Linked DNA regions of Oryzias latipes. The protein of the gene in region 2 binds, or shares a complex with, the protein of the main gene of each other region. Links are inferred from orthologs where the notes say so. Each region holds a gene or a part of one and is shown on either strand. Other genes may lie near its edges.

The links.
Region 1: the proteins of wdr48 (region 2) and usp12 are in contact, whole or in part, in a crystal structure (PDB 5K1C), measured with the Homo sapiens proteins. The link is inferred for Oryzias latipes from reciprocal best matches to the Homo sapiens genes WDR48 and USP12. Residues at the interface, in NP_065890.1 of Homo sapiens: Arg50, Trp77, Asp118, Tyr119, Lys121, Leu137, Ser170, Tyr172, Thr188, Asp211, Asn212, Lys214, Ser230, Gly254, Trp256, Arg272, Ile363, Ile364, Leu424, Lys425; in NP_872294.2 of Homo sapiens: Arg185, Leu187, Thr188, Cys189, Glu190, Thr191, Ser227, Lys230, Cys236, Arg237, Ser238, Lys239, Gln240, Glu241, His243.
Region 3: the proteins of wdr48 (region 2) and usp46 are in contact, whole or in part, in a crystal structure (PDB 6JLQ), measured with the Homo sapiens proteins. The link is inferred for Oryzias latipes from reciprocal best matches to the Homo sapiens genes WDR48 and USP46. Residues at the interface, in NP_065890.1 of Homo sapiens: Arg50, Trp77, Asp118, Tyr119, Lys121, Leu137, Arg139, Ser170, Tyr172, Thr188, Asp211, Asn212, Lys214, Ser230, Gly254, Trp256, Arg272, Ile364, Leu424, Lys425, Gly521; in NP_073743.2 of Homo sapiens: Arg181, Leu183, Asn184, Cys185, Glu186, Thr187, Cys222, Ser223, Glu224, Lys226, Cys232, Cys233, Ser234, Lys235, Gln236, Glu237, Gln239.

Annotation. Positions count from the first base shown.
Region 1 is NC_019878.2:17,502,739-17,506,490, forward strand, and holds the start of usp12 (ubiquitin carboxyl-terminal hydrolase 12), read left to right. Parts: upstream 1-1,027; 5' UTR 1,028-1,115; coding exon 1,116-1,163; intron 1,164-3,462; coding exon 3,463-3,543; intron 3,544-3,724; coding exon 3,725-3,752. UniProt on the Homo sapiens protein: Deubiquitinating enzyme that plays various roles in the regulation of the immune response and inflammation.
Region 2 is NC_019875.2:17,404,543-17,408,294, reverse strand, and holds the start of wdr48 (WD repeat-containing protein 48), read right to left. Parts: upstream 2,537-3,752; 5' UTR 2,455-2,536; coding exon 2,407-2,454; intron 1,752-2,406; coding exon 1,611-1,751; intron 1,502-1,610; coding exon 1,423-1,501; intron 1,342-1,422; coding exon 1,129-1,341; intron 1,036-1,128; coding exon 947-1,035; intron 400-946; coding exon 298-399; intron 212-297; coding exon 1-211. UniProt on the Homo sapiens protein: Regulator of deubiquitinating complexes, which acts as a strong activator of USP1, USP12 and USP46. Enhances the USP1-mediated deubiquitination of FANCD2; USP1 being almost inactive by itself.
Region 3 is NC_019862.2:988,142-991,893, reverse strand, and holds the start of usp46 (ubiquitin carboxyl-terminal hydrolase 46), read right to left. Parts: upstream 2,159-3,752; 5' UTR 1,853-2,158; coding exon 1,817-1,852; intron 1-1,816. UniProt on the Homo sapiens protein: Deubiquitinating enzyme that plays a role in behavior, possibly by regulating GABA action. May act by mediating the deubiquitination of GAD1/GAD67.

The DNA.
Region 1 (3,752 bases), on a different chromosome or scaffold from region 2:
CCTCTTTCCAACCACATTGTGATAAAACAGCTGGAACCTGCTCCTAATTTATTACCCTTTCTCGTTTCCATCTATTCTCTTGAATATGCAGGATATCCACCTTTCTTTTTTCCAACATGTCATTCAACTGTGTAGTTGTCACTGTCAAAATCCCTACATTCAAAGTTCCACACTCCAAGTCCAACACATCTCTTTCTTTTGGTTTTGTTGCCAACTAACATGGCTTCTTCCTTGTACAGAAGTCTAATCTCCACTGGCACCAGTAGCATTGGTGGCGGTCAGTGTTAACCCAGACCAAAAATTATCTGGAGTCAAAGTTTGGTTCATGATTTGTTCGATTTAGTTTACATCGAATGCCACTCTTGACACAACCTTCTGAATTTACCCGCACTTGGGACAGTGACACAAAAGACCTGAATTGTGCCCTCTTGTGGTGACAGTAATTTTCTAATGACTAACAATATTCACTTATTTTTGGCACTTGATTTGGACATATTATACTGATTTCTGTAATAATGGCATGTCTACTTACGTAATTAATATGTATTTCGTCTTTGTCATTTGATTCTTTAATAATTTTTGATTTTTTTCAATGACCTGCACTTCAACAGGGATCAGAAATTAAGAACAGTATGAAGATAATTTAGGTAAAGAAAAAAAAGCTAGGTAAAATATAACTGGAGGGGAATTATATAGGATCACATCTAGGCAATTAATTTAAATAATTTGACAAATTCAATATTGTATAGTTTCAATGTGTCATGTTCTGTACGTACAAGCTAATGGTGGTATTTGTGATTAAGAGTAATTAGATTTACCAATCTAATTTCTTCAACTCGTATAACTGCCATTATAAAATAAATATACGATATTATGTTGTTCACATAATCAATTTAAATATTTTCTGATAAATCTATTAATCATTCACACAGATGGCAGTTTCGGAAAGTACATTGAGTTAATCAAAGAGGGCTGACTGCAGAAGCGAAACCGGAAGTAGTGTGCGGTGAGTGCTCTCGCGTCCAGCTCCGTCCTCCGCGAGCTCAGCAGTATTTCGTCCTCTCTAAGCAGTCTTGTCAGCGCGCGGCGGTGTTGTGGAAGATGGCGCTAGCCGAATGGAAATCCTAATGACAGTTTCCAAATTTGCCTCTTTTTGTACCATGGTAAGTGGACGGCAGTTTTACATAGTGATTATTAGGACTTTTTGCCTATGTAGAAACTGACAGTACTATGTTATTTGAGATTTAAATCTCGGAATTTTAAATGAAAACAGTGAAAATCGGATTCCCGTGCTAGCCGAGGAGGTTTCTGATGCTAACCGAGCAGCCACCCTCCTCCTTCTGAGCCTCTTCGCTTTTGCCGCAAATCCTTGAATGTTTATATTTGTTATTTATTTACTTAAAGTTAATGCTCCATTATTATTATTTTCATATTTACACGCCCTATTTGGTTGTAGTGACTGTGCACCTGCTGTAGGGGTTCAAAGCTAGCTTGCTAATGTGAAGCTAAAGCAATGTTTAGCTTCCCAGCAACTGGATTGAGGAAAACTTCCGATAAAAACACGTCCGGACTGTGTTTTGAGGGAAGCGTTGAACATTGTAGTGATGCTGCAGCGTCAACTACTATCAAATAACAGTTTTAGTGTTGGCAATGACGACACAGATTATTAGCTGCGCAGTTGTTCTTCAGACAGTTTGCTCGACAGTGGTGATACTAGGATTACATCTCTAGAAGTGCTTTTTCCCTCAGAAGTTGACAGCATCCTCCTCGAAAATAACCGTTATACTAACTGAAAGCTTGTTTATTATATATATAATGGTGCCACGTTTTGTTGCAAAAAGTACTAAAAATAAATAGAATTCAGGAATGGAGGCTGTTTATACAAACACCTGTGAAATGATGGGCTGCACTCTGGAGCTCAGTGAATTCCAGGGTGGGATTGTATTAGGATCCCACCTACAACAAGTCAGTGATTTCATACCATAGTTGGAGGGACATCAGCTTAACCACAAAGTGTCCGTCAGTTTATGTGGGCTTCGAGTGAGCAGATCATGAGACACATGACATGGAAATTTCTGCACTTAAGATCTGATTCATTGGTATAAAAGCATAACATCACCAGACCGTAAAGCAGTTGAGATGTGTTCTTTGGAGTAAGAAATTCAGGTTTTCCATGTAGCAATCACATGGATGTGTTTGGGTTTGATGTTGGTCTGACTGCACTGTGCTAAATGTGAAGTTTGTTGAAGGAAGGATTATGTTTGTTTTTCTGAAACTGGGCTTGGATCCTTTGTTGTAGTGAAAGAAACTATGAATACATTTCGATACTGTCAACTGTCTTTGGGGGGATAGGTTTAGGATGTTTTTGTTGCTGTTTCAATATGACTGTGTACCAGTACACAAAGGAAGATCCACAAAGACCCTCGTCTTTGGTGTGGAAGAACTAGTCTGCACAGAGGCCTCTCCTTAACCATCCTTTGGGATGAACCAAAGTGAAGACTCTAAGACGGACTTTTTCATCCAACATCGTTATCAGACCTCACCATTTTACCTACTGAGAAGAATGGAAGTTGTTATCGATGAAAATGATGGACTGACTTATGGATTATGAATAAGTACTTGTGGAAATCCAACATTCATCCCTCCCTCCACCCCTTCCTGCCTTCCTTCCCTCTCTCCCTCACTCTTCCACTCATCTGGGACCATATTATGCAGGAATGTTTTAATAGTCTAAAAAAATGAAAGAAAACAAATCTATTAAGTAAAAACAATTTAGCTTTGATGAAATTGTAATTGTTACTCTGTGGACCGCTACCTACATTTTGTTTTGGATAACATAAAAATTATCTTCTTATTCAGTCTCTCTCTCTATTTATTTATTTTTTAACAAGTTGTTGTGCAGACTGAGTATTTGAGTTTAAAAATAGTTCAGATGCATTTGATTGGTGCACATAGATTTGGAAGCAACTTGGCACCAATTCCTTTAAATAAAAGGATTCCTAATAGTTTTTTCCAAGTTGACATGGGCTTTAGAGGTAACAACCCCCCTAGAAAAAACCTAATCTCAGTTTATCGCTTATTAAATGTTAACAAGTTATGGTGACTAGTTTTTAAGTTTCACTTAAATAGCTTCAAAATAATGTTCAAAATCTATTTACTTTCAATGCTCGGTCTGATACATTCACCCAAACAGGGTCGAAAATCAGTTTTAATTAAATAACTCTTTGTAACAAGATTAGATGCTGGCTCATGAGCTGAAAAACATATATGATGATGGTGATTGTATTCTTGAAATGACAAAAATATTTTTAAAATCTGTCCTTTTGAGCCTCAAAACTTTAACCTTTTGACCAAAATGTGACCTTTAAAATCATGGTTGCATGTAAAAGTGTTACTAATGTGTTTGTGTTATTTTAACAAAGGTAAGGTGACTCTTGGTGCTTGTATGTTGTGGTGTTTTAGGGCGCCAATGCCTCTGCTCTGGAGAAAGAGATTGGATCTGAGCAGTTTCCGGTCAACGAGCACTACTTTGGTCTGGTCAATGTAAGTGACTGATTTGAAGTGCAAAACTTTATTTATTTAAAACTGTTTCACCTAATTTAAATGATACTCTTAAGCAGCTCTCAGCAGCTTTTTTATTAGCACATTTTTTTGTTTTTAATTCATGAGATTTTTGACAGTTATTATTTTTGGGTTATTGTACATTATTTATTTGTGTTTTTAGTTTGGGAACACCTGCTACTGCAACTCGG
Region 2 (3,752 bases):
CCTTCTCCTCGCAGATGAGCACACGGATGTCTGGGTTCCGCAGGTCCGTACAGTAGATCTTCTTGTCTCTGCCTCCTGAATAGACATGCGTAAAGGCCTCGTTGACCTGCAGGGCCCACACGCCTTCGTCGTGCACTCGGTACGTGGCGATACACCTCTGCTGGCCCAGAGACCAGAGGCGGATGGTCCCATCCGAGCTGCCGGACAGACACTGCCGGGGGAGCAGAGCGGGATTAAAGAGTTTGGGATTCCTGCGGCTCAGCATGATGAGGTTTTTGAAGCGCTTTGGTGAATCACCTGCGTGCCGTCTCGGTTCAGCAGCAAGGACTTGACGTTGTCCGTGTGACCTTTTAGCTTCATGAGTTTTGCACATGTCCGAGGATCCCACACTCTCAGAACCTGAAGGTTGGAGAAAGAGCTAAATTTATGTAGATAAACAAACCTTACAGTTTGATTACAATTTATAGTGCAGCTGAATTAAAGCAACAATTAACAACCAATTTGGCCTCAAACAAATAAAAAAACCAAAGCAAAATTCAAGGCAAAGAAGATATATTTAAAATGTTTGTAGTCTAATTTTGCCAAGATTACTACTATAAGGCCTAAGTGAATGAATGTGTGTGACAGATTTATTACATAGAAGAATTGTCATTGTACTGCCTCATAAAGAGCATTCAATGTTGGAACAATAGAGAGGATACCCCCCTTTAGGAGGAAAAAACTTCCAAAAACAACAACACTTAGTAGAGGCAATAGACTAGCAGGATTCTTAGGACAAAAAAACAAACAACAAAAACTCACGCTGTCAAGATTTAAAATCTTACAGATCTAACTTCAGGCTAAAGCAAGATAAAAAATATAAGAAATATGAAAACAAAGCAAAAAGAAAAAATTTTGTGCATTGGTTCACCATAGATTTTTTTTTTTTTGGAGATGTGTGTCAAACCTTTTCAGTGGATCCAGAAACAATAACTGTGCCCATCTGGTTCATTGCCAGACTGTAGATTGAGTCCTTGTTCCCGCTCAGCGATGACGCTGAAGGAACACAGAAAAGCCCAAAGGTGGATCACAAACACGTCTACCCATGAAAGCGGGCTAAACCCATCACATGACTATAGGTGTACTCACTAGTGACTGTGTTATTCGAAGCAGTGAGGGCAGTTAGCGTGTTTACGTCCCAAAGAAAGATCTGCCGATCCAGACCGGCCGATGCTACAAGCTCTTTGTCTTTGGCGTACGCCAAAGCTTTAACATAGTCCTTGTGCGTTCGTAACGTTGACATGCAAAATCCTTTATGCGCGTTCCATACTTTCACCGTTGTATCTGAAGAGGCAGATATCACTGGAGGAGAAGGAGAGGTGAGTTGCTAGAGGCTAAACACAAACTTTGGATCAAATCTGCTGTTAATACTTATAAACTCACATGTTTTCCCATTGCAGCAAAGGACTATATCGTTTACCCAATCTGTATGATGCTCCATTGATGCAATGTATGGGTCCTGCTGCAAAAAACGTAGCATCATTTAAAAGAGTATCTCTGTCGCTTTATATGCAGCTGCAAAACTCTAAAACAAAAAAATGTATATATTTAATTGAAGTCATAAACTGTACTTTGTGCTGATAGACACTCCATATCCGGATGATTGAGTCCCTCCCAGCAGTGAAGAGCCGGTTGAGTGCAGGATCTAGCTGGAGTGCATTCACCCCGTTTCGATTGTACTTCTCCACCTCGTCCCTAATAACGTAAGACACCTGTGGCACAAAGATGCGACTGCAGTCAGCCTCTCTCTTGGACCGGCGCCTGGTTCAGGCTTACAGGCAGTGTTGAACCCACAACACACCCACTTTTGGACGTGGAACACGCTTCACGCACTCGCATCACCGTAAGGGGACGAAGACGTAACCGACACAAAACCTCCCGGTATAATTAGAACACACTATGAAATTAAAGATAGCGTCCCTTGTGAAGCATAACGAATGGGCAGAAAATGGCAGATATATACGGAGACGCTTTCGTCGTACCAGCAATTAGACGCAGCCAGGACACAGTGTAGCTTAACCAGCATCATCGTAACCGTTACGTCAGATTTAGCTAAAACACACCGGCATTTACGCAAAGGGGAAAATGGCCAACTGACATGTAAAGTTTTTCGGATATGCAACTAAGGTATTTGAAGAAGCAAATTGTAAGTTAGAGGCTCCTTTTCCAACGGTGCTAACACCTTACTTAAGCTAAGCTAACAGGGTTAGCCGGCTTGCACCATGACATGAGTCATAGTTGTCACGCCGCTTCCGCAAGTGATTTTTTGCTGCCGCTTCAGCAGGTATGAGACACTTGTGCAAACCTAAAAGACAACAATTACATTGTTCCCACACACTAAGTTCTTATAAAACTCAGAAAACGTACCTGTACTTTCCTCCGCCCAGCGGCATTTTGCCTGTGATGTGTGGCCATCTTGCATGTTGACAGTCAATTCATGTGATGCTACATCCGGTAAAAAAAAAGAAAACAAGAAAACGGTTTCGACGATGTGCATTATGGGTATTGTAGTTAAATGTTTAGGGGAAAAAAGTTAAATGTTTAGTGTCCACTTAGCATGTTGTTTTTTGATTTAGTTTTGAATGTTTTTGATAATACTGGGCAAGTTTTATATTAATAAAATATTTTTTTCAAAAAATCTACCACATTGAAAATGTATTTTACAAGGAGATTTGTTTATATTTTAATTCATTCGAATTTATGAAAATCAAAAAGCAAGAAAACTTCTCACTTTTGCTGAGGACAATAAGTTATATGACAACCCAGTATTTTTTATGTGCTTTATTTTCTTATATGTCTTTATTTTGCCATCTTCTTTTGTTCAAGCATGTAACCAGTTTGTTTGTTTTTTAAGTATCAACATTTAATAAATAATACGTAGGTGTATTTTTATTTTATGTCGTTAGCATAATTCACAGTTGTTGGAAATACATTTGCGGTTTTGCAGTTTTAAAGCTTAAAATTATTTTTTTAAATAAAATGTTCAACATACATATATCTTTAAGTTGTTTCAGATATATGGTTTAATTTTTAATACGAATTTGTGATATTAGGCTAGTCAACATGATCCCTAGAGCCTCCTTTGAGCTTTGTGGGTCTTTCTGTGGTGTTTTATTTTTACTACTCTACAGTTAAAAACTTTATGATGTCTAAGTAGTGCTATAAACCTTTTGGTCTACAAAATTAAAAATACAGTGTACTCTTTTCAGCCTTCTATGTTTTAGGGTATTGCAGGATAATAGAGAATGCAATACCTATCAGTCTTTTCAATTAAGAACTTTGACTCTTTTTGTGATTAAAAAAAGAAAATACTTGTTTTTATATATAACATTATAGTCACATAACAATGTCAAATATTGATATTCTCTTGCATAAATGTAAGTGCTGTTGAACTTAAAGATATACTACATTGATATAAAAGCAAAAAAAAAAAAGATAATTGTTAAAAACAATCAATTCCCCATTTTGACAGGGGAAGTAACGCTGTGTTGTATAAAAAAAACACCAGGGAAAGACTTTCTTTTAATTCTATATTTATTTGTTACTTTTATTTCTGTAGGAGAATATTGTTTAGGGCATTTTTTTATTTTCAACGGCACCTCGTTGAAAATAGTAAATTAGTAACTTAAAAAAAGTTTTAAAAAAAGTGTGCGAATATGGTGTGCGAATATGGATATAAATGAATCCTTTGCACCCCCCCCCCCCCCCCCCCC
Region 3 (3,752 bases), on a different chromosome or scaffold from region 2:
CCTAATGTGATTTAGGAATGTAAAGCACAGGGATATTAAGATTCAGGCAGTTTTGGACAGCTAAGGGGTCCTGAGATGTTTGCTTTGTTTGTGAGCGCTAGGGGGAGTTCAGATAGAGTGACGGGAAGAGAACATGTGATTGGAAAGTCGTGAGGTCTGAGCAAAGAATGTAAATGAACGACGGATTAAAGAAAGTTCTAATAACTCATGTACGCCTGAATGATCCTCATTCAAGAGAGTACACCCCACAGTCATGCTGAAGCATCCATGCAAACAAAACCAGTGAAACAACAAGTCTGTTTTTTGTGCTCCGTGTCTGTGATGTGAAGAAGAGCGCATGGTAAATGAACAATGCACCCCCCCACCCCATCACAACAGAGCTCTGTGCATTACAGACACAAAGGTGCTGGCTGGGGTTTCAGACGCATTTCAGATGAACTCAGTGAGTTAGCATGTGTTAAACAGGGGGAGGACATATTTATGCACAAATCTACTGACATGGATTCCATTGACACATAAAGAGACAATAAGATGACGGTTTCAGGATCTGTGGGATTTCATACTTCCAGTTTGAAACATTTCTTGCATGAAGAATGGCACTGGTTATCAAAAAAGTCAATTCCCAATCATAACTTGTGCATTAGTCACAACTGTCTTTGGGAGAGGACATGGGCTTTCTGCAAGCAAAAAATGAACAATTAAGGAGGCCCACGGGATATCGAGGTCGTAGATCATTCTGTGATCCCATAGAGTGAAAATGTTCATGCACATTTTTTTCAAAAAGGTGTGCTGTGGGCAACAGGTCATAATGAACACTATGACCAATTCATTTGTCCCAAACACATTTCAGATGAACTCGGTGAGTTAGCATGTGCTAAACAGGGGGAGGAAATATAATGGTATGTTCCACTTTCATGATGCCCCTTGAGGTGACCAGATAAACTTAAAGAGAACTGTGAGGCACACCTGTGCTCCCCTTAAGATGCAGCCACACCTGTCTACAACCCTCCGCGACAACGCAGAAGTCTGCAACCCTGGGTGGATGTGACTGAGGCTTTGCACGATGCAAATGAACTCGTAAAACAAATGGATCACTTTCCTTTTAAAACAGTTTCTTGGTATTTAAGGCCTCTGTTCACACATCCCTACCAGCTTTCACTTTTTCTGCCAGACGTTTATAATACGTTTATAATAATTGTTACTACTTGTGCAATGAATGTCTTCAATGCTTCTTCCACCTTTGCCTTGTTTGAATCACCAGTTATGAGGACTTTCCTCATTAGGCAAACTAACGAACATTTAGATGTTCAGTTGAAAAATCTGCAATAACGGAATCTATTTGGGTCAATACTGTGAATTTGAATGGAACTCTGGGGTTTGGTGGTGAAATCCAGCCAAGAACTTCAGACATCAACCAGACTCTTATGGCTAGTTTCAGAGCCTGAAGGCCGGGGGTTTTTGGAGAACAGGATTTACAAAGTCATGCAGCGATACACGTCAACGCATGCCTGCTTGGCTGCATGGCTGCATGGCTACATGGTTGCAGACTAGTTTGGACATCAGCGTCCTGTCTAACTAAAGCAAATACTACTGGCAGTAACGCAGCTCTGTTATTCCCCACTCTGCCCTGTCCCTGAACGCAACACGAGCACAGATTAGTGAGGAGTAGGATGTCCGGGCTCCCTGTAGCAGCAGCATCGCATTATTATGCAATCACCAACGAGCTGTCAGTTGCACCTCACCTGTCAATCAATCTCTGTGACAAATCAACCCAGCGCCGTTCTGACATCCCAGCTGAAGGCAGAGAGGAACTCACCATATTACAGATGGAGGCGATGTTTCTGACAGTCATTTAGTTCACAGTGTCCTCCTCACCGCCATCTTCTTAAAATAAACACTCGGCGCGAGGATGAAGTTGGTTCACGGCCGCGGTTAGAGGCCAGACTGCAACCCCCGAGAAGCGCCGAGCAGCCGGGCCAGCGCTGTGCCGACGGTCCCGCCTGCTTCAGACTCGATGCGGCTTCCCTCTCGGAAACATGTCTAACAGCCCGCCGCTGGAAACCGACCGAGAACCGGGGAAAACAGACACACAAAGTTCCAGACGGCGGGTTGCTAGCCGCGACCAGGAAACAAACCTGATGGGTCAAAGTCCCGCCCAGTAGGGTAAAACCAACTCTGATTGGTCAACAAATGGGTTTGGTTGATTGACAGGAAGAAACAGCCACACACAGAGACGGAACACTGGGTTCGCCTTAAAAAAAGACCAATAAAAACCCAAATACAAAATGTAAGGCATTGTGGGAAATGCAGTTATAACTTTACGAAAATTATCGCTTTTTCTTTTTTATTTTTAAAACGTCATTTCTGCGAGAAGTGTTTAAATATATGAGGGCTACGTTTTGATACAAAAAATGTTCAGACATTTTTATGTTAATGAATAATTTAAATTATTGTGGAAATATTTTATTTTATTTTTTGTAATAAAAAATGCATTGAACAAGAACTGCCTCCATCACTGATTTACAAGCTTTAATGTGCCTTAAAGGTACCAATGTACCAAAACACTCAAGCTTAAATCAAACACACATGAGCTTGAATCACACACATGTTACACTAAGTATAAAGTTGCAGGATAAAGTAGAACATGGCTGTGTCCGAATTCCCACCCTAATCCCTAACAACTAAAACACAATGTAGTGCCCTGGATCTTAAAAGCAATTCGGATTTTAAACGGAGGATATGACGTCATTACACGTTTTAGGGCCACCAAATACATAAAAAAGTAAAATTACAAGACTTTAAGTAGTAGATTTACAAGAAAAAACTCATAAATTTACGAGATTAAAGTGAACGCCACGCAGCAGCAAAGCAGACCGACTAAACGTAGTTGATCAGGTGAGCTGAATGTTTATTGATAACGTTCCAAATGTTTGGAAGCTCATTTGTTTGATTTATGATTTATTAACGTTTTATTTATTGATGGGTGGTTTGCAGGATCTCTGCAGCCGTTGATGAAGACATCGGTGTCCCTGCAGATGTCCACTTCAATCCTTTCTTCCTCTATGAAAGACAAGATTTCTACGTCTGTGTGATGCTTCCGTCTGAGGAGCAGCACTTTTTTTTGTCATTTTCAACGTTCTAGTGCTAATACAACAGACTATTTTCATTCCTCTTTATTGTTTTATGTTGAAACGGGACGTTTCATCTGGAGGAGGGGGCGTATGTAACACTGTTTACCTCTGCATTGGTGTTTGGATGACAGGTTCATGACGTAATGTGACAAATGAACTTCAGGTTATGTGAATGAAAAGGAGAATAAAGGCTGCAGCGGTCCTCTACACCCAAACTTGTTTCTGAACCCTTATTTTACATAAACTCCGCTTTACCGACACTGAACCCCAGAAAGACAGCTCCACTGACAATAATCTGATTTTGAGTCATCAAAAGGTTCAGAATCTCTTTTTTTTAAAACATTTCCAGAAATAAAGCTTCACAAAAGGCTCCACATATTTCATCTTCAAACTAGGCTCCGATAAACGGAAAACTTTGGTGTTTTTTCCTCGTCAATCTATGACGTTTTTCTTGTAATTTACGAGATTTAAAGGGAGAGTTAACGAGAGTTAAAATCTAATTAATACGAGTTAATGACCATTTATTAATCTACTGTCTTCTGTAGATAAAAATGTTGATAGTCTTTTAAAAAATACATTTAAATCCTTTTTTTGTTGGCAAAAATTGTTCTGACGCAATAC